Linked DNA regions of Coturnix japonica. The protein of the gene in region 1 purifies or fractionates together with the protein of each later gene. This does not show direct contact. Links are inferred from orthologs where the notes say so. Each region holds a gene or a part of one and is shown on either strand. Other genes may lie near its edges. The genes, in order: ANAPC16, ANAPC7, CDC27, CDC26, ANAPC2, ANAPC4 and ANAPC13.

Region 1 (3,175 bases):
ACACAGGAGCTGGCTCTGTGCTGCTCCCCACCACGTCCTGCACTGTGAGGGTGCTCCCACCGCCTGCAATCTCAGCCCCTCTCTCCAGGTGATGAAGAGTTGGCTCCGATACCAGAACTCCTTCATAAACAGAAGCAAATGCAAAACACGGCCCCGTGCTTTTCCCCTTTGGTTTTTGTTACCACAGATCGCTGGCAAAACTGCTGAACTGAGTCCAGATTCAATGGCGTCTCAGTCTCAATCCAGATGTGGCTGGACTGAGGCCGCTGGGTTAAAAGGGAAAAAATCAGCTGGGAAGTCAGATAATGAAGATGGAAAAACTGGGCAGCCGGATTGTGAGGTTGTTCAGCACTGAGCCCATCCCCCTGCTGGCGAGCACGGCGTTAAGGCTCCAATGGAAAATGAACATGTTGAGATGGTTATGGCAGAAAGCAGAAAGCCAGTTCTCCTTAAGAACGGAGCTGAGGTACAAATGAAAAACAAGATGATTAAAATGCACGGATTGGAAGCGGGATTAAGATCTGATTTAAGTCAATCCACTTCTGAGCATGAAGCAGGCGGCCTTTGTTTTCCTTCTCTCTGAGGATGTTTTTGATTGTACTTAGTTTACCATTACAGCAGCCGAGGTGCCTCAGAGCTCCATTAAACCTCGTTCCCACCTCAGCAGCTGACTGCTCCTTTCATCACACCCTGCCCCCACACCAAGCGGTGAAGAGCAATGGTTTCAAAGGCAGAATTATTTTATTATCACAGAGCACTTTAACACGTAATAAGGAGGAGAAGGGTTTCAGTGTATTCAGGGTACAGCTTCTGCGTTAAAGAGGGATGTGCCACCAGCACCGTGCAGACAAAAGGGAAACAGTGCTGGGAAGAAAAGGGTTTCAGCAATGCAGGAGGCAGCGCTGGACACAGCCCTGCAGGATGGGGCTCACCCTGTCAGCTCCTCGAAGAAAGGAGCCTTGCTGGCAGAGCCTGGCAGTGCCCAGCAGAGGCCGGGCTGGAGTGGCACAGACACACACTTCCCAGGCAGGAGATAACCTGGGTCAGCACACAGGAGGTAAATGACAGGCCAACTTACTGGGCTGCTTCCCCTGCCACTCGGCTTTACGTCCCCCCTTCTTTCTTTCTTTCTTTCAGCCCAATCCCGCTGACACAGCTGTAAATACCCTGATAGATGGTGGTGTATTTTGAAGCTGGGCCAGAGAGCTCCTTCCTTCTGCTCTCCGGCAGCAGGGATCCAGACGTGCTCAGCCCGAGGAGGGAGTGAATCCCAGCAGCTGCTCTATTGGCTTGTACCTCCACTCATCTGCCTCCAGCTCCTCCACCAGACCGGCCAGTTTTTCCATCCGCGCAACTTGTTGATCTGCAAGAAGTTCAAAGGTAACCCTGCTTTGCAACGACACTGCAATTAAACCTTGCAATTAGATGTAAATTCCCAGCTGTCAGTGGGGAGCAGAGCAAAGAACTGACCTCACCAAAAGCTGATTTGAATGCAAACCCACCATGTGCACATGGAGATTGGACCTCACCTGATCACACAAGGAAGCAAAAGGGCCAGGCTTTATTGCTTGGGCAGTGCTCAATCTGTCTGCTACACATCCCTGCACTAGCCACAATAGTTCAAGTCGTAACAGAGGAACATGAGGACAGTGAGCGTATGGAGGCACAAACAGCCCCGAGTTCTTTTCTTTAGCATAAACATTTACGGTGCAAAAGAACAGAGTTTAGAGAAAGCCTGGCCTGCATAGGGCAGGGCTGGGTGCAGCACAAGGAGCTCCTCCTGCCAATGACGGTCCTTGGAGAAGAACCTGGCTGAGTGCAGCAGCAATGCAGTGCAATCACAGCGTGCTAACACACAGCAGATCTGGGAGGAGAGGCAGGTTGCCTCCCCGGGGCTCCCTGGGACAACTTGTTCCCCTCAGCTTTATTTCAAGCCAGTTGTGCGCTTGGCACGCAGACTCCATTTTCAATTAAACGAGCTGCAGTGGTACGGAGATGAGAATAGCCCTTCTGCTCTTGGCTGCACTGCAAGTTTCAGAGCTTGGCAGCCTCTTGGAAAAAAAAAAAAGGGCCTGTCGGGAGCCAAGTCGCTAGCAAAAGGCTTAGCTTAAATGTGCACAGTTTGTGCTGACTGCAGCCACAGAGGCTGGGTGCTTTTAAAAGCGCCTGTTCTCACTCCACCTCCTGCAACTCGGTATTTTGGGAGCCATCAAACAAACACACACAACGATGACCTCGATCTTATTTTGAGCCATTCCCCTTTCCTTCAGGGAGGCAACCAGCACTCCACAAACCAGTTCCAAAAGCTGCTGCTCGTTGGGGTGCTGGTGCACTGGTAGTTACAGGCGCAGGAGAGTTGGGGCTGTGGAAACAATGGCTCCAAAGTTCAGCTTTGCTTTGCAGCCCAGAAACACGGGATCACGGCCTCACAAGCCGCTGCACACCCTGAGAACTCCTCCTGGCAGCCATCAAACTGCAGGACAGGAAACCTCTCCGGTCTGAGACAACACATGGAAGTGCCCATTCTAGCTGATGAGAGGTGGAGCCCAGAAAGGATGTGACCCTCGAGAAACAGATGGGCTGTGGTGCTGAGCTCTGCCCGGCACCCTGAGAATGAAGCCGTGCAGACGAGCCCATCCTTCGGTTATCAGCACCTGGGCCACAGCACAGACCCCGGGAGGGAAACAAAAGCTCACGCAAGACTCTCAGGGAGGGACAGAGCACGGTCAGCCCCACAGCTCACTGCACACACTTACAGAGTGCACATCCTCTCCCAGACACCTCTGGGAACCTCGCTTGACCCTGGCAGGGCTATGAAGGCTCAGCAGGGAAACAAAGGCAGCCAGTGACTTGCCTGAGGCCAAAGAGGCAGCAGTGCAGGGCCACCAGCAGGTCGTGGGCGTTTCCTGCCCCGAGCCTCCTCTCCTGGCCTCACCTCCTGTGAAGGTGCACAGGGTGATGGAAAAACAAGCTGCAAGAGGCACGGCCTATTCCCACCCAGGCTGTGTGGGTTCCCTTTGCTTTGCATAGGGCTTGCAAAAGGACTCGCTGGTAGCCTGACTTGGCATTAATTCACAAACTTAAAAGGCTATGCTGCTTTTTTGTGGTTGGCACCCTAGAATATGTCAGCCCCCATCTTCCCTGATCAGCGTACAGCTAAAACATAATGTGCTTA
Region 2 (5,057 bases), on another chromosome or scaffold:
GTCGACCTTCCCGTGCCAACAAATAGCCATACACATCCATTCCTACAGTGAAAAGTTTGAGAGACAATATTTGCTTGCTACTCTAACTTAATTTAGCAGAACATTATACTAGGTAAATTTTCCACTATGATTTACTCACCTTTTATTAGGTAAGGATCCAGCATTTGAGCTTGTTCAAATTTTAGAATAGAGTTTTTATTATCTCCAGCTCTGAAATACAGGTCTGCTAAGCTCCCCAGTAGATCTACATTATCCCTCAGCAGTGACTTTTTCTCTAAAGAGCTTTAAGAGAAACAAATTGCTGTTGTTAATGTGTAATGATATTATAAAATGTCATTGAAGAAATATTTTATGGCATTTGATTACATCACACTCTTCCAAATCTTACCAAATTGTATTGATGGCTCTAGTGTTATCTCCAGTATGCACAAACGCATATGCCTTGATCCACACTGAAAGCCAGTCCAAGTTTGGAATGCTCTGAATGATATTTATTGTCATAGAGGCCACTTCTGCACCCTTCACTGACAGCGACAGCAAACCTGTTCACAGAGGTATTCAAAATCATACAGAACAATTTCAATCACCGTTGCTACAAATTATCTGAAGACAAGGAAGCACAAACAATTTGTCACGAATTTATAGTTTGCATTAAATACATCTGCATCAGATATTACCTAGAGATGGCAGTCAATTACCTAGTCCCAACCATGCTTCAAATTATAATGCTTCTTAGGATTGATGTACTTAACAGCGTGGAGAAACCTACCTAGTATGGCATCAAGTGCTAACGGGCACTGCCTCAGTACTTCCTTGTAGCTTGTAACAGAGGAGCGTTCTTGACCTGCTTTCTTGTATAGATTTGCCAGCATCATATTGATCTGCAAGTATTAGAAAGGAGTCCTCACTAAGAAAAGGTCACAACTTTGCCCTCCCTCCAGCATGCCGTCCCTCCCTTCCGTTCTGAGTAGAGATCACTATAACCTACTATGTATGTATTATAAAATTAATATTGACTCTTGAGTCCAAATGTAAAATGTACATCTTTTTATTTACATAGTACAACTGGAAACCCCAGCATTGTGACATCCAAAAATGGACAAGTGTTTTAAGTATGACAAGAAGAACCTGTACATCCACTGCACTAATCTTCTTTCAGTTCATTTCTTCTATCAATGGAAGCTCTCAAGAGAAGGAAGGCATGAAATGTTTCTTTTTAGCTTTTAAATTGTAATCAGTGATAAAAGAACAGAAACAATTTAAGCTCTGTGCAGTCCAACTAGCTGAGTCCTGCTACATTCTAGTGTATATAGATTAAGTTTGCTTTCCTCAACCTTTTTTTCTACCTTCTGAGCAAGCACCGATGACAAACATCTGCCAGAACAAACCTTTGGGGTCCTCTGTCTGGAAGGAATCCCATCCAGAATGGCAATAGCATCTTTATCTTGCTTCAGCATGGTGTAACATTCAGCCATTTTATATTTTACTTCAATTTCAGACGGTAAACACTGAAATGAAATACAACTATTGAAGGCCAACTGTAGTGGAAATGTTATGTCACAGACTGAAACAGTGATGGAGCAGCTGGTGGGAAGGACCAACCCAGGGAAGCTCAGGTGCAGACAATGTATCTGAGTAACTGGAAGGGGTGGAGCAAGGACCCAGCTCTTCCTAGCCCTTATTTAAGGGTTGGCAGTGAAGGTGGAAGTATTACACTAGCAGCCTGCATACTAGAGACCTTCTAAAGGTAAGCAGATTTTCTTCCTTTGTTTCTGTATTCACAGCTACTGTATCAGGGCTTGTTTTCATTTGCTGCGGCCTAGAATTATGCCACCCTGCTATTGCTGTGCTTTCCATTACGTTATAGCATTATAGCATTGCAACAACATCATAGTTGTTACATTAATATGGTCTCGTTTAATGCTTAGCATAGATTAAAAATACCCAGTGCAAGAAAGGTAAAAATGTAGCTTACTGATAGCTTACATTGCTCATCTCTTCCAAAACCATGAATTACACTTCAAACATACAAGCAGTCTGTGGTCTAACACAATATTGAAACTCCAACATGCTCTGAAGCAGAGGGGGATGCACAATAGTTACATGCAGCACATCAGTTAGTGTTTAAATACCTGGCTCTGAGGAGTTGATGCAGCGTTCCCAGTAGAAGGCCTCACTTTGGAGGTTTTACTCAATGCTTTCTTCTGCTGCAAAGCCATCGTATACTTGCTCACGGCATTTCTATATTCTTTGTCGTGGAAAAGAGAGTCTGCGTGGTACACGAGGAGTTGGTACTTCTGAGATGGTGAAAACAGCTCCCTAGGAAAGATACAGACAGGCTGAGATTGCCTAATAGCCTGAGAAACAAGGACAGACTACAAGATGTTCATCCAGCTTCAACTTTGAGCTGTTACTGCTGCTTTACTACATGGATAGCAGCACTGTGAGGAGCTGTGCTGAAATGTAAGGATTTCAGAATGGGATTGTGGCTCTACTACCTCATAAAACCACCCAAAACGATTCAGGAAAGCTCTGAAAAACAACCGGAACCGCGAGAGTGAGGGAAGCGTTGTGATGTACACGGGGCACCGTTGGTAAGGGAAGAAATTGTTGTATCTCCACTGGGGGAGCCCATGCAGGGCCACGGCCCGCTGCTGCTGGGCTGAGGTGGGTTGAGAGAACACAGCTTCATCCCTTCAGGGCCTGAGCAACGGCAGCGCACCAAGCCCGTCGGGAAGGAAGGGGCCTGAAGGCAGGGGCCTGTATTCCTTCCCGGTCCCGTCAGAAGGGCCACTCACGGGTTGTTGCCGCTCATGGTTAGGAGAAGCCCGCTGAGGAGCCGCACGTTGGAGTGGAGCCCGGCGGAGGCCATTTCCCGTACGTGTTCCACCACACTCATGGCGGAGGAAGGACAGGACAGAAGGAAGAACACAGAACGGAACGGATCGCGGCCCGGCTCAGCTCGCCGCCACTCCAAAATGGCGCCAAGGCGGGGCCTCGTAACGCTGCCCACAGGCGCCCGCGCCGCCGCAGTGCTGTTGAGGCGGGGCTACGTGATGTCTGTGGTAACAGGGAGATGATGCTGCAGGGCGTGTCCCGTCATAGCATCTTTATTTCTTTATTTTAATTTAAGATTTAGACCTTGTGTCTGCGCAGCTCTCGAGCCTGGATGCTTTTCTCCTCAGATTTCAATGTGTGATGGCTGCAGCAGTGATGTGAGGTGGCAAAGCTTGTGCCTATAAGGAAACTGAGGAGAGGGAGGCCTCAAAACATGGGCTGCCCACAGGTGAAACACCTCAGTGGTGCTGCTGTGAACTGAAGCACACAGTAACTCTCATAGGAGAGTAGTGAGGTGGAACAGACACCTCAGTGTTCCTTCTTTCATTAAGTACCACAAAAGGCACGTTAGTGCTGTGTGGTGATGGTGAAGGTATTGCCACAAAGGAGATGAAATGAGCTCAGACCAGCAGCTCCTCAGAACAAACAGCATTTGCCGATATCACGATGGCTAACCATAAGACAAAGCCATTATCATGTTAATTACAAGCTAAGTTTATTGGGGAGGGGGGAAAAAAGAGGTAAAAAAAATCACTGCATTCACCACAACATTGAGACTCCATCCAGCAGAGCAATTAACACCACTCCAGGCACAAACGCTTCTCTTTAAACTCCCCGCTGTAAATGCTAACTGTAGCCACTGATAATAAAGCAGCCTGCATCTGGAACAGCATTATAGGAATCATTTATTAAGCACCAGCTTAATATTACTTGCTTACAGTACTCAAATGATCTTTTAACTTTACGCCCCTCTTCCCCTCGTTGACTTTTTTCTTCATATACGCTTCTTTTTCTTGGTACAAAATATATCCAAAACAAAGGCAGAATATTTCATACACCTGGCTGTGGAAATGCTTCATGGTGCTGCTTTGTCTGTTCACTGCCCAGGTCCAGACAGGCTCTTGTTCATGAACTGTCTCTTCACAAAGCAGATCCACCACTGCAGAAGAAAGCACACAGTTAGAAAACAGGCAAGAGATGTTTCTATCTTATAAATGAAATAGTGACTTAAAAGTAGGTTTAATACCAATTCCAATATATTTATTGCAGTGTAATAATGAACATCAGAAAGCTATGCCTTTGGAACTAAATTAGCTTGAATAATTTTCATGATGAAATGCAAATATATTTGCACATGAAATACAAGACCAGGATGTAATTCATGCATCTCCATCTTTTGGAGAAAGCAACCAAGCCTCTCATTGAATCTGTGATCATTAGGCCAAATCCTTACCTTACTGGGCTTGTCACTCTGAGGATCAAATACTTTTTCACAAAGTCGAAGGCCAGTTTCTTGCCTGAGCTGCTGCAAGTATGCTCTCATCACCTCTGAAATACAGCACAAGGACAAAGTAGCATTAAGGCAAACTAAACTGAGTGTGAAGGCAGCGGACATCACTGCCTACAGCAAGAAATGTGAGCTCTCACATCTGTAGGCCCTTGCTGGCTGTTCATTTTACAGCCATACTTGGATTTGTTATATTTGTATGAGTAAAACATATCTCAATTGTTTTCTTCTTTCAGCTAAGCCTTTGCCCATCATTATGGGTTTCCTCTCTGCCAGTGTAGGAGTTAGCTTGAGCTCTGTTACAGAATCTATCTAGCAGTTATAAGATCAGAAGACCTCAGAAAACAGAGCTAGAAGTTTTCTAGTTGTAACTGCAAAAACACAGCTGGTAAAGCTTGGACCAAAGCAAGTCTTTAGGGGTCTTTGTTAAGTCTTACCTTCCTCTTGCTTGTTGGTAGGTTTGGCATAAATGGCATTAAGTGGAAAGCCAGGTTCCCCAGGGATTGGGAAATTAGTGATTCCTAGCGTGTACATCTCTTTCTCTCCTTGGCCTTTAGAGTTGCACTGAAAGAACCAACCAAACAATTGATTACAATCCCTAAACCATTAAGACTTATCAAGAACAGCAGTGCAGTGTCCCTGCAAAACCACAGCCTCAAGTATTTGTTTTGTGGTTCTGTAAACTGGGGTTGCAGTGAACAGAGTCTGCTGT
Region 3 (4,049 bases), on another chromosome or scaffold:
ACATAAGGAAGTGGTTCTTCAGATGTAATTTAAGCCTCGGAACTCCTACAGCCTCATTAAGATTTCCCACTTCCCAAACTGATACAGAAGGATATCGCCTTCTGTAACCCACTTGCAAAGGCCATCAGCTGAAACAGACACGGAGGAGTAAAAGCACCCCACAGACACTTACTCAGCACTTCTGATGCAATATTAATACATTTATACATTTGAGCATGGTTCAACACTTTCACATCTCCAGGCCCAAATAACCAACACAGATGACTGATAGTCAGCCTAGCCCTGAAAGCTGTTCTAACTACTGCAACCTCTTTGCAGTTAAAGATCTCAATAAAGATCCATTTCTTGCTTTCTAAAATGAATTCCTCTGAGACAACAGATGTAAAAGAAGACAACAGGAGCTTGGGTTATCTTTTCTTGGGTGGTTATAAAAATAGCTTGAGGTTGCTCCAGTCTTTTAAGGCTGAAAGCTGTTACGTTGGAGAGCTGTGAGATTATATGCAGCAAGTCTTATTGAAGGCTCTGTGAATTTTACAATGCTGCCCCAAATGTAAACAGCTTGGCAACAGGCTTCAAGTTTCCTCATTAAGCAGACGTTTCTGCAATGAAGGAAAACAAAGTGCTTACAAACACAGTGAAATTTCACCTACCTTTCCTATTAAGAAGTAAACAAGAGACTCTTTGGGAACAATCTGCTTCAGTTCTTCAAGTTCTTGCAAAGCAGACTGAAAAGGAAGAAAAAAAATAAGCACAAGCTGGCAACCAGCAGCCAGTTATTGCATTGCTGAACTGCAACTCAGAGCTGATGCAAACCTCGCAACTGACATACAGCACACTCCACCACAAACAACAGTACGGCCTCATCAGAAGCACCTCAAGTTTCTTTTACATTAGTTTCTCCTTTAATGGCTATAGAATGTTATGGCCCAATTATTACAAGCACAGAATAAATACGCTGGGCTTTGGTCTCCTATAATAACATCTAATTTTTTTTCTCCTGCTCACAGGTATCCTCTGCTTTTGACTTTTAATCTCCTGCTCAGTGAAGGTGGCACTTCTTGAAACAAATGCTTTATTAGCTGCTCTGCCTCAGGCTCTTCCTACTCATGCTTCAAGCCTTAATGCTTATCACTGCATCCCCATCCGCTGCTGTAGCAAGTAACAGATAATCTAAGGTTGTCTACGTGCATCAAATCTTACCTTGTATTTCTCATTTGCAAACAGTACAGAAGCTCTATGGAATTTGCATAGTGGGTTCTTGGGGTCGATGTTAATTGCTTTGTTTAGAGTATCCAAAGCCTTTTCAGATTTTTTCAGTGCGTGTTGGACCTGTAACAGAACAGGAATAAAATCTCAAAAGGGGAAAAGAATAAAGTAAATTTGACTGGTGCTGCTACGTTTACTTACAACCTGTTCCTACTGAGTCTTAAAGAAACCAAGCTTTCTCACAGGTAAGCCTATGCTATCAGGTTGAGTCAGTAAGCCATTTCAACACTGGCTAAAAGCAACTGGGGGGAGGGAGAAAAGAGGATTTATTTTCTGACACAATCCCACGGTTATTCATTCATGCAATAAGATCCTCTAATAGATCCTCTGAACTTTGTTTTGTTTGTTTTTGCACTTCAAGTTCAGGAAGGTTGCAGGTAAAGGGCAGAGGCAAATCAGAACATAACAAGGAGAGAGCTGAGCGCAATCTACTTACTACTCCAATGTGACACAGTAAGACTGAGCTCTGAGGATTGATATCAAGTGCTTTCTGGAAATGCATTTCTGCTAAACTGAATTTCTCCTGTTTGTAATAAATCATTCCCAACCCATACCTGCAAAAAGGAAAAACAGTTCCATTAATAAGAGTGCATCTTAAATAAACTAATTGTCATCAGCAAATATGGACTGGTAGAAGTGGCACATATTTAGAAATGACTCAATGACAGAAAAGTCTCACAAAATTCACAGCAGCGTTTGCAGCTTATTCCTCCCAAAGGTGCTCCATATCACATACAGCAGAAGGGGGATGAAGCAAGACTTACCATGCATTGTAGTGCCTGGAGTTGACTCTGATTGCATTCCTAAAACAAGCTAATGCCTTGTCTAGCTCTTCTGTTAACACAAATTCATGCCCCAAAAGGGTGTAGGCGTAAGCATAGTTTGGATCAACTTGAATGGCTCTCTGGAAGAACTTGATTGCAATGTCATGCTCTCGTTGCAAGCTGAAGCAGTTCCCTGCAGCACACCATGCCTAATAAAAAACAGCATTCTAAGTTAGAAGTGTCATTTCACAACCTGCAGAATGACCAAGTCTGAGCTAAACAGATCTTCTGTCACTGATCTATGCAATTATGTCACTTGCTACTAGATTATAAACAACAGTTTTAACAGTACTGACCAGTTGCTTCACTAAGTCCTCCTTCCTCTAGTACAAAATAGAATGACCTGAATAGGTTCATCTCCAGCAGAAAATCCCAACAGACTCCACAGCTTCCCCCACTCTGTCAAGAGCAGATTTATATCCCCTCCACACACATACATACTTATTATTGGGGCACATGTCAGCTTGCTTGCATGTCATGTGCATGTTATAATACCAGCTCAACGGACTTCAGCATAAAAATATTTTCAAGCAGCGTTGTACAAGTTGTGCAGGAAATATGAGTGCCAGTGAATTACAGCAGTTAGAAGATAATATGAGAAAAAACATCCCTTATCTTTACATGTGGGCATCAGCAGGGACAATTGATCAACCCATGATCTTCCTGGATTAACAATGTCAATACAGATTCAAATCACCATTAATAGATTAAAGGTTCACAACGTGTCCCATATAAGCTGATATTCTAACGCCAAGCAGCCATTTCAGGCATCATCAGCTCAACAGGCAAATCCTGCCACCTCCCTCTCCAGTTTCACCTCATATTTCTCAAGTGAGAATGAAATCCTAATCCAGCTCCAGTCCAAGTTCTGTTCCCTGTCACTGTCTGTGCCGCACACAGTTACTCATCTCACTGAGCACCACAGCATTTTGTACCTCTGGTGAGTTTTTATCCATGTCTGTTAAATCCTTTGAAAGAACTGACAGAGCAACATCTTTCTGCAGATGCCACAGCGTAGTTGAATAGATCTCCATGCCTTCTACTCTGTAGTTTTCAATCCTCCTCACTTCTGAAAATATCCTTTCAGCCTAAGAAAGGAAATGAGAAATCAAACAACAGCAATTCCACCCACTCAAACAGAGCACACAGATCAAAGTTAGAAGCCTCATATGTCCAGAATGAGAATTCTTTGCTATGCAAACATGAGGCAGAGCTACAAGTCCTGTTGTATTTTTATCTTCCCCACCAAAGGAAATGACTGCACTCCAATACAGTTAGACCAAGCAGAATTCCAGCTGCCCTCCCTGCTTGTGACTCCTGCAGGAAACAAGCACAACAACTGTCAGGGCAACAGAGAGAATAAGAGCTGAACGGCTGGATTCATCTTAGCTGCTTTTTTCTGTTGTGAAGCAGTTTGCTATCACCTCAGCTGCAAAGGGAACCAGGTCATCAATGGATCTCCATTAACTAAATAAGGGGGGGGAGAAGAACACCTGGTTTTGGAACCTGAATTGTTTCAGTGATTATTTACAGCACTGCAGTACAAACAGCTGCATCAGCCCAAGTGAGGGTGAAGATGGAGAAAGGCAAAGGGAGACTCCCAGGACTGGATGCAAGAGGAAGTAACTTCAGCATTAAAAGAAATCTGAAGCACAACTCAACTTCAGGAAACAACGACTGCTGACACAGACTCAAAACCAACCACAGGCAGTTCCTACCTGCATGTATTCTGCAAGTTCAAAGTAAGCTCTCCCAATCTGGCACAGCACCCAGCCAGTGTTGTAGTGGTGAGATGGCAAATGGCTTAAAATATTTATCGCTTCTTTGCAGTTGTATGAGCACAGGGCTAAATAACCTTTCCCCATGTCACGAAGAAGGCTCATCAAACCTTCTAGGAGAAAAATACAATAAGTAAAAATGGAAAAAACTGCTGAAATTCATTTACTTGAAACAGCTAAT
Region 4 (3,215 bases), on another chromosome or scaffold:
GCAGCGACGTGTTGGAGCTGGCTGCGTTCTGAAACAGGGAGAGAGCTCTCAGTACAGACCTCAGCCCTGAGCTGAGTTCAGCACCAACCTGTGTGGTTTCCCTTGAACAAGCTGCAGCTGTTGCAGGGATGTGTGACTGCGCTGTGTTGACAGTAGTTCATTCATATACCTCTGACTATCTCTAAAATAAAACTTCTGCTTGACTTGATCTTCTTGCTATCAGTGAAGCTTTTTAGCCACCTTTCCTTTTGCATTCAAGTGCCCAGACTTGAATTCTGACTGTTCCAATCAGAGAAGGATAAGTTGGAACTATGCAGTAGCTGCGGCTTTTATAACATAAGTTCAGTCCTGCTTGCTTTTCTGCATCACTGTATGTGCATCCTCCCTTGAAATCATCTCTTTTGAGGGTTAGTAACTGTTGACAGTCCTGAGGAGCCTCCCTGTGCCCCAGCCTCCCTCCTGCCCACCTGATGCTGTTTGCTTCCCCAGTCTGAGCAAAACCTGCCCACTGTGATACCGACTTGCACTTAGTGCGTTGGATGTTGGATGCCATCCTGGCCTTTATGCTGGCTGTATTTCAAGCTGTCCCAGTGTTAACACTAAACTTGTGTTGAGTGGTGCTTAGAGGGAGGTGAGGACTCTAATATTAGATTATTAGACTTGAGTAAATGAAGTTCACGTGTCAGCATATGTAGCATGCTTAGAATGTGATCGCTGTGTCTGTGAGTGCACCCTGATACTTTGTCTTTACATGTCTGTAGGAAGCACAGTGTATCCAGGCTGTGTTCATCCCTGAGCTTCTGTTATTTCCCCCAGTGCCTTCTCAGTTGGTCTGCAGCCCCAGCAGACCCAAAAGGACGGATAGTTTTGTTTACAGCAGACTGTCACTTTTGATTTTCCTCTTGCTCTTTGTGAAGGTAACTTATCTAGTAACGTATCAAAGATCTCCTGTATATAATTAACTAATAAAGCAGATGCATTTTACTGTGGCTGTGTGCTTTAAAAACAACCGTCAATGCTGCAGCTGTGCTGAGTGAAGGCTTTTACTTCCCCGTGCAACCAAAGGAGACCCAGGAGCTGGTGTCGGTTTGTAAAAAAGCCCATTTATTAAAACAGCCTCGTGTGGCTCCGTTCGGTACCGGGAGCAGCGGCACCGTCAGAACTCGAACGTGCCGAAGTGCGCGGCTCGGACCCCGGCCTTGTGCTGCGGTTTGTACCCGATGCGGTCGTTGATGAGCTGCTCCCGGCTCTTGTGCTCGGCTCCCAGCGCGATGCCCGCCGCCTCCTCGCCGCCCGCCACGTCCGCCTCGTCCCGCTGCTTCTTGCGGCTCTGCGGGGCGGGGGGGCCGAGTCAGGGCCCCGGTGCCCGGGACAACCCCCGACCCCTGCCGGTCCTTCCCCTTCCGTCCCCGCGCACCTCCAGGTCCTTCCGGACTCCCTCGAACTCCTCGATATCGTCCAGTTTCAGCTCCAACCTCGTTGGTTTCCGTCGCAGCATCGCTTCCGCCGCCTCCCGGCCCCTTCCGCTCTGTCACGCACCGCCCGCCCCTTCCGGTTTACCCGGTGTGACCCGCCGCTTCCTGTCCGTCACCGGAAGTGCTCCGTTAGGCCGTCGGGCAGCGCAGTGATGGCGGCCGTGCGGGCACCGGTGGCTCGAGGCGGGGCGCGGCCTGCGGCTGTGAGGGGCCCCGCACCGCCTGAGGTACGGGAGGAGATGGGAAGGAACGGAGCTGGGAGGGCTGTGACGGGTCGGGCTGTGACCGGTAGCGCTGCGGCTTTGGGGTGTTATCACAAGATCCTGTGGTTTCCGTGCCGTGTCCGTTATGAGGTCAGCTCTGCACTCAGCACACACGGATTCCTATCGGTTCTGTCTTTCCTTTGCAGCCCACGAAGAACAAACCGTCCGAGGATGGCGATGCTCCCCCCGCCAAGAGGGCGCCCATCTTCTATGGCAGCCTGGAGGAGAAGGAGCGGGAGCGGCTGGCCAAGGGGGAGCCCGGGCTGCTGGGGAAGGAGGGAATGAAGGCGGCCCTGGAGGCCGGGAACATCAACATCAGCAGCGGTGAGAGCACAGCAGCATGGGGTGGCCTTTATTTAGTGTAATCGAAAGTCACTCCAATAATATCTGAGCATACATTAGGTTTGATAAGGGGAGGCTTTTCCCTGGGTTGCCAGCTCTCTGTTGGGATCTTCCTGTTGGAGGAGGATCTCCTGTCCAGCTCCTGTGTCCAGGCTGATGGTTTTGCTTTGGTGCAGGTGAGGTCTTTGATCTGGAGGATCACATGAGTGAGCGACAGGCCGAAGTCTTGGCTGAGTTTGAGCGCAGGAAGCGAGCCCGGCAAATCAACGTCTCCACGGATGACTCTGAAGTGAAGGCCTGTCTGCGAGCCCTCGGGGAGCCCATCACGCTCTTTGGAGAAGGTCCCGCAGAGAGGAGGGAGAGGTGCTGTGTCTGCCCTTGTGTGTTGCAAAGAGGGAACGCTCAGCTTCCCCCACTTTATCATATTCCCACTGTTTTCCTTGTAGTTGGCGTGCAGCGAGTGCTGCCGGTCTGTGTTTGGTTACAACATAACAAGAAAGAATGGAACACAATGAGTGTTTGTCCACCAAGTGAACGTAACCTAACGTGTTTCCTTTCAGGTTAAGAAATATCCTCTCAGTGGTCGGCACAGATGCATTAAAAAAGACAAGGAAAGATGACGACAGGTCGAAAAAGTCTAAAGAAGAGGTAATGATTTCTCAGTGCCGGAGGAGATTTATACAGTCATCTTTGAATACCTTATTTTGGTGGTCTCTGAGACATTCAAGACCTGGTTGTGGTCAGGGTGCAAATTCTAAAATCATCCCTTTCTTTTTCTTTGTTGCCCATTTTAGCAGAACTGTCAATGCACTGTTTAAATCGGCAGCATTAAGCTTTTTTTTGGCTTTGTTCTTTTCCTTACAGTATCAACAGACTTGGTACCATGAAGGACCACGGAGTCTGAAAACAGCAAGGCTGTGGCTTGCTAACTACTCGCTTCCCAGGTAAGGAAAACTAACATCAATGAAGGGGAGAAGTGCAACATTTTGTAAACTCTTAACTACTAACCACATTGTGGGTAGTGTAGTAAATTTGAGATCAAAAGAATGAAGAACATGTTCCGGTAGACAAATCTGTTAGCCCAGTAATGGGGAAGTGAGGGTTTCTAGCAGCAAGGCATGGGAAATGTGAACAT
Region 5 (4,990 bases), on another chromosome or scaffold:
CAAGCAGAGATTAGAAACAGTGCCAGGCTCCAAAGGGAGACAGTGCGGCACCAAGAGGTGAGCACAGATCCACCATTCAATCCAAGCCCAGCAGTGAGTGAACACACAGAGAGTGAGTGGGAGACACCGACCTCGAATGATGCTGAACAGCTCTTCGATCAACATGCCGGCGTAGATGCGGTAGAAGAACCTCTGGACGTGGCAGCGCCAGCGCTTCAGGGTGCTGCTGGCTTCTGCAGAGGGGCGAGCCAAGGGACCGTCCTGCAGGAACACTCTGCTGAGCCAGCCCAGCACCTTCTCGATCCACTGCAACAGCAGAGGGAGAGCACAGGGATGGAGGACAGCTCTGCAGGGTGGGATATTCCATCCTGCAGAATTCTACTGGTTTTCAATCTAGGGAATGGGAGCAAAGTGCCAACTGCAACATCCAGATATTCAGAATAATTGGGTTTACTTCCTGCTTAAGGTGGCAAATGTGTAACACCACCTGAGGCAGCACCTGAGTATTAAGAGTTATGAGGCGGCGTTATGTTTTGATAACCAGCTTTAGGTGTGGTGTGCTGCTGTTAATGCTCAGCTGTTTGACCATGGACTGGAGGAGTGCATGAGTTCTGCCCATAGAACCACAAGGCAGAAGAATGTGCTGCAGCACAGAGCACCCAAGCACCAGACCTGTACTGGGAAAGCTGAAAAGCAAAAGGGAAGTGTGATCGTTGATGCAAAGCACCTGGATGGTGAGGAGCACCTTTACCCAGCCATTCTCCCCAGGAGTTTGTCTCTGAGTGCCCCTTTACAGCAGGGCCAGAGAAGAAAGTGTTGCACAGCAACTGTAGGGAAGCCAACACCAAATCACCGCCTGTGTTTGCAGACAACACAAATGCCCAGCACGGCACACAGCGAGGAAACCAGGACAACAGCACGGAGCTGCCTGGTTCGCATGGCAACCTGACCTCACACTTTGTTCGTCAGTGCAGACCAACGTAAGGCCATGCATCAAGGAACAAAGAGCACAGAGTGAGTGTGCAGAGCACAGCCCGTGTCCCAGAGCACAGCCCGTGCCCCAGAGCAGCCGTAACCTTGAGAAGAGCTTTAAGGTCATACACAGCAAAGAGCTCGACACAAACTCAGTGCAAGGCAGCAGCGAGAGAACTGAGGAGGCGTGAGGAAGGACACTGGGCAAGACTCTCCCTGGAGTCTTCTCTACTCCAAGCTGAACAAGCCCAGTTCCCTCAACTGAGAGAGCAGACCCTCTAACATTAATCTCAAATGTAAAGTTTTAACCACTCCTCTTCTACCAGGGCTGGTGGAAGTCACAGTCCAGGACTGGGGAATTGAGGCAGAGTTGGGAATTTAGCAGCAGGAACAGGAGCAGCTCCACATCTCCATAGCCAGGGCCTCCCTTACCTCCTGGAACTCGTTCAGGAAGGAGTGCTCATAATCACCCCGGCAGCGTCGCTCCATCCTCTCCTTGATCATCCTGTGCAGGATGGTGGTCACAGCATCAGCACTCACCCTCTCCAGCAAATTGAGCTGGCGGCTGCAGACACAGAACCTCGAGTGAGTGAGCAGAAGCAAAAGCATGAAGAGAAAACTGAGCTAACAGAGCACACCTGCTGCCATGTGCTGTGCAGGTGCTCTTAATTTAAGCACTCTGATTGCAGGCAGCAATAACACATCACACAGCTGCCATCCTATCTTCAGAAACACTGTCATAGGGTTATAGAATCACAGAATCATTTGAGTTGGAAGGGACCTTAAAGGCCATTAGGTCCCACTCCCTGCAGTGCACAGGGACACCCACAGCTCCATCAGTGCTCAGAGCCCCAACACCTGCCCTTGGCTGTGCCATACGTACAGGATGTCATTGAGCTGCCGGAACCGCTCCATGGCCGTGGGGCACCAGCACTGCTCCCTCCTGCTGCCGCAGCCCGCACACACCGCGCTCTCCCCTCCGCTCTCCTCCGTGTCACTCTCCTGCTCGGCCTCACTCATGCTGCTCTCACACTCATTCATTCCCTCTTCTCCCTTCTTCCACTGCCGCATGTATATCCGGAAGGTGCGGCTGTAGAACTGCTGGATCATCTCCTGGAAGGGTTTGGTGGTGGAGAAGAACAGGATGGCTTTGAACATGGTGTACACCTTCTCCCGCAGCGTCTGAGCTCCCGTCCCCAGGAGCAGCCCGGCCTTGGTGCATCCCTCCAGGAGCTCCATGCTGCTCAGGTAGGGCTCCAGGCGGCACTTGAGGAGACAAAACGCATCCAGGAGGAGCACTGAGCACTGCTGCTCCTCCGCCGTGTTCTCATATTGACCGACGCAGTTCCAGAACTCGGGGGCGATGTGTGCCTGCAGGTCGGTCTGCAGCACCTCGAGGAACCACTCCTCCACCGCAGCGTGCAGCCCGTAACAGCGCAGCACCTCCAGGGCGGCCCGCAGCTCCGCATCCTGCAGTGGGCGAACCGGGTCACAGCGCCCCGCTGCCTGGGGAGCAGAGGGGATGAAAGGTTGAGCACGGAGCACACAGCCAGACCTTTATGCCCCCATCCCTGGGCACGGTGCGGGGCTGGCAGCCCATGGCAGGGGGGGGTGGGCTGTAAGGATTCTCCCAACCCGACCATTCTGACTCTAGGCAGACACGTACCAGGGGGGACCCTCGACGTGTGGGCTGTGCCCATCCCACAGACCCAAAGCTACTGGATTAAAATCAGTTCTGTTGCTTGTATATGTTAACTACATTACATATTTAACGAGGGCTGCTCTGAAAGTGATGCCTCCTATTTTATTGTACTGGCCCACAGTGTCAGAGGGGGATGTGGGTAGGACGGCAGCCGAGGCTGAACCTCCCACCAATACACTACTGCTATGTGACGTACGGCAGCAAGGGGCAGTCTGACATGGAAGCGAATGGAGCACACGTCTCTCGTTCATCACAGTGCCGGCCAATTTGCTCTATTTACGCTCCCATCTCTTTGTATCTATCGCAGCTCCTACAGAACACAACAGGAGGCATCACTTTCGGAGCGGACCAGCACCACCTCTATGCCCTCGGACAAGCCGCATCCCGCACACGGCAGCGATGTGCCGGGGGGGGCTCAGCCCAACCACCCGCACAACGGCCACCGTTACCCCCATTACCCGCTGCTGGGGCCGCACCGTGACCCACACCCCCCCATCCCGTCCCGTCTATCCCCCCATCCCTTTGCCCCCTCTCCCCGCTCACCAGCCCCAGCGCTGCGGGCGGTACCAGGGCGGCACTGAGTGCGCTCCACGCCGCCGACAGCCCCGCACCCGCCGCCTCCATGTCCCGCAGGAAGGGGCGGAGCGCGGAGCCGCCGTTGGGGCCGCACGATGAGCGGAACCGGGGAAACGCTGCAGGGCTACAACGCTGCGCTGCTGGAGGGTGGGTGAGCGGGGACGGGAGGGGGGCAGCGAGCAGCCGGTGCTCACACGGTGATGGTGGTGGTGGTGGGTCCGAGCAGGGCTGGCCGAGCTCCGAGCACGGCGGGATGAGCTGAGCGAGAGGATCCGGGAGGAGGAGGCGGAGAGAGAACGGCTGCAGAGCCGCATCGCGGCGCTCACAGAGCGCTTGGCCCGAAGCTCCGAGCGAACGGCGCGGAACCTGGCTGCAAAACGGCAGCTGGAAAACAGCATCGCTGAGAGCGAGGCGGCTTATGGCAAGGTACGGCCATAGGGAACCCCATACACCAGGGGGAGACAGAGCGGGGAGGAGTTGGTGCAGACATTTGAGGTCAGGAATGGAGCTCTGAGCACTGATGGAGCTCAGGGTGTCCATGAGCACTGCAGGGAGTGGGACCTGATGGCCTTTAAGGCCCCTTCCAGTTCAAACGATCCCACGGTTCTGTGCCTGCTCCATTCAGCTGAGCTCAGCTCTTCATTCAAGCCCCACTCAGCACTTGAAGAAATAAAAGTTTCTCCAGGTGGTCGCCTACATTTTCCTTTCTCACATGTGTCTTTTGAAGTGCTGTAAGCACGGCATCCTCCTCACCCAGCCGGACCTGCACTAAACATGGGAAGTGCTGGGGGTTGGGAGGCAACCAGCTGCCACAATTCACTCATTAGTAATAAATATAAGTATATAAATAAATATTTGTGGAATATTTATCATCCAGCACTAAAAGAGAAGTTGGTTCAGCTGCCATACCCTGTGTAAACCCTGATGGACCCTCTGCATCTCCCACATTAGCTGCTAATGACTGTAAAGAGTCAAGACTTCCATCAGCACACACCCCAATGCAGCACACGAGGGGCACAGCCCAGCTGCCGCACTCAGCCAACACACCTCATAGGGCTGTGATGACACACAGGGATGTCAGACCCACCAGGACACTGTTTGGAAGGGAAGGTGATGTGAGGAAGCACTCCAGGACCCAAAGGTTGGGGAGAACTTGTGTGAGAATGGAACAGCTTGGAAGCGGTGTTGTAAAGTTACACCACAAACAGCACAGGTTGGAAAAGAAACCTTCCCTGAGATACAAACCACGACCCCCTGTCCTACAAACAAAGCCGTGTTTATTGAAATTAGGGGACAGAGTCACAGCAGGTGAGAAGCCAAGGGGTGAGGAGAGGAAACATGGTCATCCTGCAGACTGAAATGAGGAGCAGAGTCCCCTCCTGTGCATTCAGGTCTCTGTGTGATGGTGCTCCTTGCCCTTCCCCGGCCCAGGGGAGACTCAGGACTCACCCTAATACACGCACCATGCTCTGATATGGGGGAAAGACAGCAGGATCCCTCTGCAGGGCTCCTCACCTCTCCCCTGACCATTTCATACCCCTGTGAGGCCATAGGAATGAGTATAAGCTATCACTGGGACTGAAACAGCCATGTTCTGTTACAGGTGCCCACTGTAAACAGGTGAGCTGCACAGGCAGTGAGATCTAAGCCTGGTGTTGCCTTGATCTCCTGGGCACAACAGATGGGAGTGTGAGATGGTATAAAATATGTGCTAAAAACAGAAGAAAATGAATGAAAGGA
Region 6 (4,285 bases), on another chromosome or scaffold:
AAAGAGTCTGGAAAGAACAGTTACAAACTGTGACTGAAATTAAACTTTACTTGCCCTATTAAATTGCAAAAGATACCTAAGATAGTAATAAGCAGATGGATATAGCTAAGATTGGCTTAGTTAATTGTTGGCATTATGGCATTTACAAAACAGATACCAAATACTGACTACATTATCAAACTTACCAACATACAGCCAACGAAAAAATGCTTTGAAGTTTTTCATACTACTGTCAATAACTCTGCAGAAGAAGCAAACAACAACAAATTACCAAACCTAAACGTCACAAGCAGTTGCAGGTTTAAATTCTGTATTTGTTATACAGATATGTAAGTATAATCGACCTCTTAGAAATGCCAAATGCATTCATCCCATATAAGACTCATGTTGGCATGCAAGTCTATGAGATGCAGCAAGACAAGAGCTCACCACCAACAGAGGAGCCATACCCAGCCATCCTTCTCGGCCCCAAGCCACATGCTTTCTCAATAGCCACCTTAAAATTCTTCAGACTTTATACTTACTGAAGCAGCTCATTTGCTTTCAGGATGAAAGAACCGACAGCAGTAGTAGCCTCTGTGAAGAGAGCAAGTCATTGCTAATATGCTTACAGAAGTGAAATGAGTGTGGTTAAGTAGGGCACACACTACTGTACCTTCAATTCCAGATGCATCTAATCCCAGAGACTCATATTTTTGTTTCCATAAAGCCATTCCTTTCAACTCACTCAAGTAGTATAACAGTGCTTCTGAGCCACTAGGAAAGTAAAGCAAAGAAACAATCTTGTGGTCACAGTTCGATAACTCTACTTCACTGTGCACCACGTTTTTATCTTTTAATGGGCAAAGTGGAGATCTTTATAAAATCACCTGGAATATAAGAGTTAAGAATGCATTATGACTTTGCAGAAAAGCAAACATTGTCTTTGTAATTTTAACCACCACACAACATTGGGGAAAATTTCCTATAAAAATACCAGGCAGAGATATATAGCTTATTCACCATGGAAATTGCTCAAAATACAGCTCCCATGAGTAAATTAGTACATTGTGTATTGCCACGGTACCATACAAAAAAATCCATATATATAGAACCACTGACACTATGCCCAGTTTTTTAGCAAAGTACATAATATGCCACTTAATCTAAAATTTATTGGACATTTTGTGACTCACCTCTGCAAATGACTTATAACCAATTTTTGTATACTGGAATAGGAGGACTCTATGGACTGACCAAGCTTTTTTAAACCCTGTTAAAAAAGAAGTATAAGCATATAATAATGTTTTCTTAATGTAAATGAGCAGTGATTAAAAGATACTGAAATGCATAGTTCTAAGATGTTAAATAATATTAACATACCTTTACTGTCAGTTGGTTCATTAATAATGCCTGCAGTTCCAGGCTGAAAAGGGACAGGAAGAGAAAACCAAATATGCTTTCATTTTGTATTTTAGCATCAAATGCAAATGCATACTCAGATAAAACAACAGTAACTACCTTGCTTTGCCCCATAACAACAGCTGCATAAACTCATCCTGAACAGAAGTGGTTGTATTCTTTTCCTGTCAGCCAAAATGATTGAAATAGATTGGTAAAGAGATTACATTCAACCTACTAAATAGCATCACAGATACCTCAAACCAAGTACATTATAAAACCCACCCTTACTGAATGCTGAAATGAGACTACTTTGGAAATTTCCTACTTTCATCTTTGGAAATTCAATTCAATTAAATGATTCAAGTTCAATATTTTCAATTATTTTCAGTTGTAATACTCAGGAAAAATTCTAAGCAGTTTCCATCATCAAGAATCTATGTTAAAAATAAATACATTAATTACTTGATTCAATTAACAGCCAGCCATGCACACAAAATAGATGCAAATATATGATCTGATATATATGCTCCATTGAGTCAGTGATGGGCTGCTGCTCAACATTTACAGTAGTCAGTTTATCAGTGACTGAAGTACAAAGAACACAACCTTAAACAGCAACTGTTCAATAGCTGTGCAAGCTGAAAAATATCATTTTTAAATAACTTAGAATAAACAAAATGAAGGAGTATCACAATGCAATCACACTTGACTGTACTCAGATATCTGCACCATCACCTCTGAACTTAGAGACTGCTATCTGGAGGCCTTAAATAAACAGCATTAAGATAATACACTGTGTAGTTAACACGAACAGCAGACCTACTACAGAAACAGTTTTCCAAGAGAGCAGTTAATACTGTAATACCTGCACAAATTTTGTTAGCCGTGAGTCCATCTGCATCAGTATTTCTTCCCATGCTTCACACATGCACGTCAATGACAACTTTATATACTGCAACACAGACACTAAAATTAGCCTCACTCCCTTTTTTCCCTTTCAGTATATATTAAGTAGCTGAATGTTATTACACAAAGGGAAGATATATGCTACAGATATTGTATGAAATGTATTATCAACTTCTCAAACTAGAGCTCCACATTTACTTAAAACCAACAGAAGTTCCCTACTAGAAAAATTTTACTTCCTGTAAGAATATTGAAGCCTCTAAAACTTGAGATATAAAGATGTTATGACAAAACTGTACCTGTAACAGAGTTGAAATGTGAGTAAACTTCCGGGCCATTCGAGTTACCTCAGGTAAATAATTTGATAACAGACTGGTGTCCAGCTATAACAAACAGAACAGTTAACAGATCATTTGTTTTTTAAAGAGTTTCAGGTTACAGAAATAAAAGCCCAGATGAAGAGGACCCACAGAGAAACTCAGTATTTCTCGTTTTCATTAAGTTGATTTTTCATTAAGGAAGAAAACAGGGCAATTAGTATTTTAATCTACCTAGAAAAGCTCTCAAGAATGGTTCTAATTTTGGGGTTCTAACAGCAAGAGTTTGAAGGATGACTGTTCTGGATAGAATGGACGATGAACAGAACGGCTGTTACACCTCTGTGTGAATAATGAAGAAATACAGAGCAACTGTAACTGAATAAATGAATGTTATATTTAAAGAAGTATTTTATCACAAGGCCTCAGAGCGTTACAGCCAGTCTCATCTGTGAGACTGCAAGCCAATGCAATAAATCTAAAAACTAAGTCAGGGTGTATTTCAGGAAGGCTGAAAACGATAATTGTAGGATTTTCCTGCAAATAATGGAAAAGCGATAAAGCTTGGTGAAAGAAAGTAAAAGAAAGAACATTTTAAAATTACTTTACTTGCCTGAAAATAAGTTATCTCTGCTTCACTGTCAGGAGAGTCTTGTATTTCTGCAATAACCGATAGTGATTTCAGATCACTAGATAAACAGAGTCCACGACAAGAACCTGCCACCTGAAGGATTCCAGTTTAAATGTTAATGAAATGCTGGATTTTTCCCATATATATTTACTGCTGTAACACACTCACATACAAAGCAGGCTGTGTTCAATGATGTTTAAAAACCAAGTGGAATTTTGTTCAAGAATGAATTTACCCCTTTTAACATGGATTAGCATTGAGCTTAGTTACTTCTCAAACAAGATGTTAAAATCACCACTTAGAGTTGGAATGTCTTTCCAGCAATAACCACACAACCTTATCCAAGGAAGTAATTATTCCTTCCTGTAAAATTTCAACTATCCAGTTTCAGTTACAAGTAAACCTAGAGATGCATTATTTCATTCAATTCAGCTGCAGTTTGGTATATACTGAAGAAAAAAATACAGAAGCAAACATACCTCAGTTACTGTAGCAATCTTGAACATTCCATATGCATAAATTTCAATAAACCCAGAGCTGCCACCAAGGACAAGAGCATTAAGCCTACAAAAACAGAACATGTGCTGATGAGTATATGAAAATAAATAGACAACTTTTTTTCCTAAGCTCTCAGAAGTCAGTTTTTATTGCATACAGATGTCATTCTTAATATTTAATATCCGTTCCTTTTACTAAAGCAAATACTGTGCTGTTGTCTACAACCCAAGGAATTTTAAAACCAAATGAAAAAATATTACTAGCTTGGATTTGGTTGATGAGAACTGCATCTAGCACTTACAGGGGTGTCACAGTCACTCAGTGGGCCTCCTCAGTAAAACCTCAGCAGAAATAAAATGATAAAACAGATACAGCAGAAAAAAAAACAGCCACAAACAACGGGAAAAGAAACAGAGACCCAGTTCAAAAAATAGGATCACGAACAAACAGAAGTGTGTCTTCTGATCACTTACTAAAATCAATTTGCTACACAACGACTCAGAAAAATGCTTTCCTATGACCTCTTGCTTTTTGTCTGCGTTTGAAACAT
Region 7 (3,927 bases), on another chromosome or scaffold:
CCACGCTCTGTCTGTCTCCAGCAGGTGGAAGCCCAGCATCCCTTTTAACCTGTGAGGTCCTTCATGATTTGGATGGGCACCACTTTGTCCTGACAACGTTCCCAGTTCAACTCAATACGTGCTGCCAAGGAGCTGCTGTTTTGGACAGCACTCACACATCTGACATATCCCCACCATGTTTTCTTATAGCCCTGCTGGAACCTTGTGAATTCAGCTCCAATTCAAGCGAGAAAGGCTTTTTTTCCCCCCTTGCTAGACAGTAAGAAGTGGGCAGATGCACAGACAACCATCAGGGCTGGGAAAGGAAGCCTGAAATTGGAGCTGGAAAATCCTGTGGCAAAATTGGTGTGATGGGGATGGAGCCTGTGATGGAGTGAGAGAGGGGAAGGGAAGAGAGAACAGAGACGGCTGCTGGGTACACAAAGCCACCACGCAGCTTCTAGTGTTTTCTTTGCAGGGAGAGGGAACATGGGGAGGATCAGAAATACCTCATTAAGCCCAAGCTCTGTTTTGCCCCCTGCTGAGATACAGCGAGGAGCTGAACTATTACAGTTCCCAGCAGCGTAGCTGTTTCTAAGGTCTATACTGTACATATGAAGCTTGGGTTAATCCTGAGCAGCCTGCTGGCTGCATGCAGCTCCTTCTTGTTCAGATGAGCTCACTGCTGGCTCAGAGCAGGCACTGCTGACTCCTCAGGCAGGGGCTGCCCCAGCCACTCAAACCAAGCATCCTCCTACTCAGCGCCCATGTCCTCACAGAACATCCAACGTGCTCAGCCAATAGGGATTTTGAGTAACCATCATTTGAGCACAAATCGCACCATTTAAACAACGTGTAAATATACAGTGGTCAGCACTGGCAGCGAACTCTAACACAAAACACAGTTATACCTCTTGGGACATAAACCTCCACGGTCACAAACATCCCATCCCCAGTTTTGACATATAAGAACAACTCCAGATGGTGAAAAAACACATTTTTTATCATGTGTAGAAAACACTTAAGAACAGAATTGGCACCAAGTAAAGAATAAGTTAACAGAGAATTTGTCGTGAAATGCCCCCGGATTCATCAGTTTCCTGTGGGAGGGACGTTTTCATGGAGATACTGCAGAGATAAATCCGTCCACTTCATTTCTTGCTCTTTCACAGACTCAGTTGTGCCTCCATTGTCTTGCTCTGGTTCAGGGAGCTCATTCTGAGAACGACAAGAAGAAAAAAGGTACAATGCATTCAGTGCATAACAAGCTGCCTAAAAAGGAGCTGGTGACGAAGACTTCCTATGAATAAATACAAAAAAATCCACAAATGAGACTGGAGGGGGCATCTGAACAATACATATCATACATCCAGATTCAGTTAAAATATTACTGAGCCCAGGGAGGAACAATGTGCTTTTCATATGATTATGATGCTTCATCTGAAAGGTAAATTGGCTTTCCAGGGCCCCGGGGCCTTGCTATGTACTCAGACTGCACACGCAGTGAAGGAGAATATAGAGAAAATGCAAAATAAGTAAATAATAACACGGTGCAATTATTCCATTGCTTGTTTAGATTGTGGTTCTTTGTTGCTGCCCAGAATACAGATACTGCATTTACCGTAGCTCTATTAAGACAGCTGGCTTTGTAACATATCGCTTTCTTATGGCAAGGTGAGAAATCCTTCCTCTTGCTGCATGTGGAGCTCTGCTGTGGCTGTGCTGTAACAACAGGAGATACAACACCAAGCTGCTCAGCATGCAGGGGGGAGGAAGGAGAGTTTAAATGCGATTTCATTTGACTTCCTCGTGTTATTTGCTCCCCGTGTTGCTGCATTGGTTATTATTGGTTTTGGAGGAGGGCAGCTGCTTCCTGCCTCCTCTGCTGAGAAGGAGCTGCTCTTCTTCCAAGAGTGATGCCACACTGTGCTGTAAGGGCTGAATGATGTCACTGCAATTTGGCAATGTCTCTTTGCAGGCATTATCAGATGCCGTGATTTTGGCCGGCTTACACCTGTGCGAACAGGGAAGGGGAGGATCCTCACCCAGAGGGTGGTGACGCACTGAACATGTTGCCCAAGGAGGCAGTGGATGCCTCATCCCTGCAGGCATTCAAGGCCGGGCTGGATGTGGCTCTGTGCTCCACCTACCAGCGGGATGGCCACGTCCTCGTACGGCAGCTTGTCCTCCCTCCACGCGTCATCGATCAGGTCCAGGATGCGGCCGTCCCGCTGCACCTCGCTGTCCATCCTCACCCTCCGAGGTAGCTCCGTACCAGCCCCGTCCCGCGGGGACTCGAGCGGCCCCAACGCGCTCGGTTCTGCCGGCAGCGCTCCGCCCCATCCCGCAGCGATGTTCCGGCGCCCGCTGTACCGTCATCACCCGCCGCCGCCTCCGTTCCTTCCCCTCCCCGGCCGGCAGCGCCCTGCGGGTGGGCTCGGTGCGGTCGGTGCGGTCCGCTCACTGTGCGGTACCTTCTTGTTCCGTACAACCAACCATTTCTCTGCCCCGTCACTTCGTGTCTCTGCCCTTCCTGCTGCCCCTCTATTTCCCCCACCTTTCCCCTCCCGCTGCCCGTGGATGCGGTGGCCGCTGCTTTGCGTGGTTTCCCCCCTGCTGACCCCGCCGGCGCTGGGTGATGGAGGCTCTGCTGGCAGGCATGCAGAGGAATGGCCAGGGGAGGTATGTATGTACGTATGTATGTATGCACCGCTGTGTGCCCGGCCTTTACAACAGCCTCACCGCGGGGCTTCCCTCTTAACGCTCCTTGCCACTCTTCTGCCAAGCTCCCATGGTGTCAATGAGACCCTCGGTACCTTCTGCAGGCGGATGGATGCAGCGCACAGCGACGTGGCTGCTTCGGCACTTTGCAGCGGTCCCTCAGCGCCTTGCAGTCTGTATTTTGCCTCTCTAAGAACGTTATCCCTTTGTTTTCCCCTTTAAAAAGCCCCCTCCTGCCTTGCAGTGCGGTGCTAAGTAGAAGAGTGAGTAAATCCTTTTCTTAAGAGCCCGGTGAGGTTAATGAGACATGCTGAGAGCACCTGATTACTTCCTGCTTGTGCTGGAGCTGCAGACACCCTGAGGAACCCTTAGGTGAAGGCTTGTGGGCTTGGAGATGGAATAACAAGGCTTCATTTATCAAACAAACACAAAACTAAAGGCACTGACACCATTTCCATTGCCGTCTTTGAGGAGGTGACTCAGTGCTGTATCTTTTGCAGTTAACTGGTTGTATAAATGCAGTCTAGACATAGCTGTGTATCAGCAGATGCTGAGCAGGAGGTGTTCTTGCTGTGCATAATAGCTGCTAATTTTTGGGTAACTCGCAGGCCGGGGTGAACATCCAATTTAACTGCTTTTGGCTGCTCTGAGAGCTACTTCTTTCCCTATAGAAGATCTGTCAGCTTGTGAAGGCTGGGTATGTATGCTCTGGGGGAGCAGGGAAATTTCAATCCCTTCACCTATTGATTTCCGTTCCTTTTCAGAGCCTTCCATTTGACAGTCAAATTAAATGGGTGAAGATGATCATGGAGTTCACAGCCCTCCAGGGCTGTATCTTGCAAGCCTTCATACCGTCCTTAGCTTAGCACTTGTGAAGTTTTACAGGGCTTGGTTGAATTGGCTTCAATAATTACTGCACAAATTAGAAGCTGCGGCATCGCCAGGGAGCGTGCTTTCCCCAATGGGTTGGGGATGTTTTATTCTTCATTATCATGTTGTCATCCAACCAACGTAGGGGTTTGTCTGCATTTGTGATATGCTTTTGTTTTCGGGAGCTGAGAGGTTTCTCTGGTGACTGAAAGGGGGTATAAAAGAGCATTAAGGGGAAATGCAAAGTATGGGCAGAATAAGTTGTGGTTTATTTAGGTAATGCGTAGTACCAAGATAAAGGGACCAGTGGTCATAGGGGCTTGCTGTGACATTAGAAAACAAAACACACTGCATGTG

Evidence for each region.
Region 2: the proteins of ANAPC16 (region 1) and ANAPC7 purify together in Homo sapiens (affinity purification with mass spectrometry; 6 studies listed by BioGRID and IntAct, with this or other methods). This does not show direct contact. The link is inferred for Coturnix japonica from reciprocal best matches to the Homo sapiens genes ANAPC16 and ANAPC7.
Region 3: the proteins of ANAPC16 (region 1) and CDC27 purify together in Homo sapiens (affinity purification with mass spectrometry; 10 studies listed by BioGRID and IntAct, with this or other methods). This does not show direct contact. The link is inferred for Coturnix japonica from reciprocal best matches to the Homo sapiens genes ANAPC16 and CDC27.
Region 4: the proteins of ANAPC16 (region 1) and CDC26 purify together in Homo sapiens (co-immunoprecipitation; 5 studies listed by BioGRID and IntAct, with this or other methods). This does not show direct contact. The link is inferred for Coturnix japonica from reciprocal best matches to the Homo sapiens genes ANAPC16 and CDC26.
Region 5: the proteins of ANAPC16 (region 1) and ANAPC2 purify together in Homo sapiens (co-immunoprecipitation; 5 studies listed by BioGRID and IntAct, with this or other methods). This does not show direct contact. The link is inferred for Coturnix japonica from reciprocal best matches to the Homo sapiens genes ANAPC16 and ANAPC2.
Region 6: the proteins of ANAPC16 (region 1) and ANAPC4 purify together in Homo sapiens (co-immunoprecipitation; 10 studies listed by BioGRID and IntAct, with this or other methods). This does not show direct contact. The link is inferred for Coturnix japonica from reciprocal best matches to the Homo sapiens genes ANAPC16 and ANAPC4.
Region 7: the proteins of ANAPC16 (region 1) and ANAPC13 purify together in Homo sapiens (affinity purification with mass spectrometry; 3 studies listed by BioGRID and IntAct, counting the BioPlex papers as one, with this or other methods). This does not show direct contact. The link is inferred for Coturnix japonica from reciprocal best matches to the Homo sapiens genes ANAPC16 and ANAPC13.

The regions. Positions count from the first base shown.
Region 1 is NC_029521.1:9,575,495-9,578,669, reverse strand, and holds the end of ANAPC16 (anaphase-promoting complex subunit 16), read right to left. Parts: intron 1,364-3,175; coding exon 1,248-1,363; 3' UTR 723-1,247; downstream 1-722. UniProt on the Homo sapiens protein: Component of the anaphase promoting complex/cyclosome (APC/C), a cell cycle-regulated E3 ubiquitin ligase that controls progression through mitosis and the G1 phase of the cell cycle.
Region 2 is NC_029530.1:4,516,756-4,521,812, reverse strand, and holds the start of ANAPC7 (anaphase-promoting complex subunit 7), read right to left. Parts: upstream 3,020-5,057; 5' UTR 2,900-3,019; coding exon 2,799-2,899; intron 2,320-2,798; coding exon 2,133-2,319; intron 1,509-2,132; coding exon 1,389-1,508; intron 882-1,388; coding exon 770-881; intron 543-769; coding exon 389-542; intron 283-388; coding exon 140-282; intron 43-139; coding exon 1-42. Other genes in the region: ARPC3 (actin-related protein 2/3 complex subunit 3), read right to left, coding at 3,935-3,997, 4,292-4,386, 4,783-4,909. UniProt on the Homo sapiens protein: Component of the anaphase promoting complex/cyclosome (APC/C), a cell cycle-regulated E3 ubiquitin ligase that controls progression through mitosis and the G1 phase of the cell cycle.
Region 3 is NC_029542.1:2,302,344-2,306,392, reverse strand, and holds part of CDC27 (cell division cycle protein 27 homolog), read right to left. Parts: intron 3,982-4,049; coding exon 3,809-3,981; intron 3,179-3,808; coding exon 3,026-3,178; intron 2,240-3,025; coding exon 2,031-2,239; intron 1,821-2,030; coding exon 1,703-1,820; intron 1,330-1,702; coding exon 1,201-1,329; intron 726-1,200; coding exon 651-725; intron 1-650. UniProt on the Homo sapiens protein: Component of the anaphase promoting complex/cyclosome (APC/C), a cell cycle-regulated E3 ubiquitin ligase that controls progression through mitosis and the G1 phase of the cell cycle.
Region 4 is NC_029532.1:814,815-818,029, reverse strand, and holds CDC26 (anaphase-promoting complex subunit CDC26), read right to left. Parts: upstream 1,530-3,215; 5' UTR 1,499-1,529; coding exon 1,418-1,498; intron 1,331-1,417; coding exon 1,157-1,330; 3' UTR 1,084-1,156; downstream 1-1,083. Other genes in the region: PRPF4 (U4/U6 small nuclear ribonucleoprotein Prp4), read left to right, coding at 1,628-1,702, 1,885-2,062, 2,257-2,443, 2,641-2,728, 2,945-3,024. UniProt on the Homo sapiens protein: Component of the anaphase promoting complex/cyclosome (APC/C), a cell cycle-regulated E3 ubiquitin ligase that controls progression through mitosis and the G1 phase of the cell cycle.
Region 5 is NC_029532.1:1,026,900-1,031,889, reverse strand, and holds the start of ANAPC2 (anaphase-promoting complex subunit 2), read right to left. Parts: upstream 3,320-4,990; 5' UTR 3,299-3,319; coding exon 3,218-3,298; intron 2,479-3,217; coding exon 1,856-2,478; intron 1,538-1,855; coding exon 1,405-1,537; intron 307-1,404; coding exon 132-306; intron 1-131. Other genes in the region: SSNA1 (Sjoegren syndrome nuclear autoantigen 1), read left to right, coding at 3,346-3,397, 3,477-3,676. UniProt on the Homo sapiens protein: Together with the RING-H2 protein ANAPC11, constitutes the catalytic component of the anaphase promoting complex/cyclosome (APC/C), a cell cycle-regulated E3 ubiquitin ligase that controls progression through mitosis and the G1 phase of the cell cycle.
Region 6 is NC_029519.1:66,522,706-66,526,990, forward strand, and holds part of ANAPC4 (anaphase-promoting complex subunit 4), read right to left. Parts: intron 3,802-4,285; coding exon 3,717-3,801; intron 3,331-3,716; coding exon 3,220-3,330; intron 2,673-3,219; coding exon 2,589-2,672; intron 2,336-2,588; coding exon 2,249-2,335; intron 1,566-2,248; coding exon 1,501-1,565; intron 1,406-1,500; coding exon 1,363-1,405; intron 1,253-1,362; coding exon 1,176-1,252; intron 757-1,175; coding exon 656-756; intron 577-655; coding exon 525-576; intron 242-524; coding exon 186-241; intron 1-185. UniProt on the Homo sapiens protein: Component of the anaphase promoting complex/cyclosome (APC/C), a cell cycle-regulated E3 ubiquitin ligase that controls progression through mitosis and the G1 phase of the cell cycle.
Region 7 is NC_029524.1:2,642,531-2,646,457, forward strand, and holds ANAPC13 (anaphase-promoting complex subunit 13), read right to left. Parts: upstream 2,340-3,927; 5' UTR 2,229-2,339; coding exon 2,130-2,228; intron 1,198-2,129; coding exon 1,072-1,197; 3' UTR 960-1,071; downstream 1-959. Other genes in the region: CEP63 (centrosomal protein of 63 kDa), read left to right, coding at 2,618-2,661. UniProt on the Homo sapiens protein: Component of the anaphase promoting complex/cyclosome (APC/C), a cell cycle-regulated E3 ubiquitin ligase that controls progression through mitosis and the G1 phase of the cell cycle.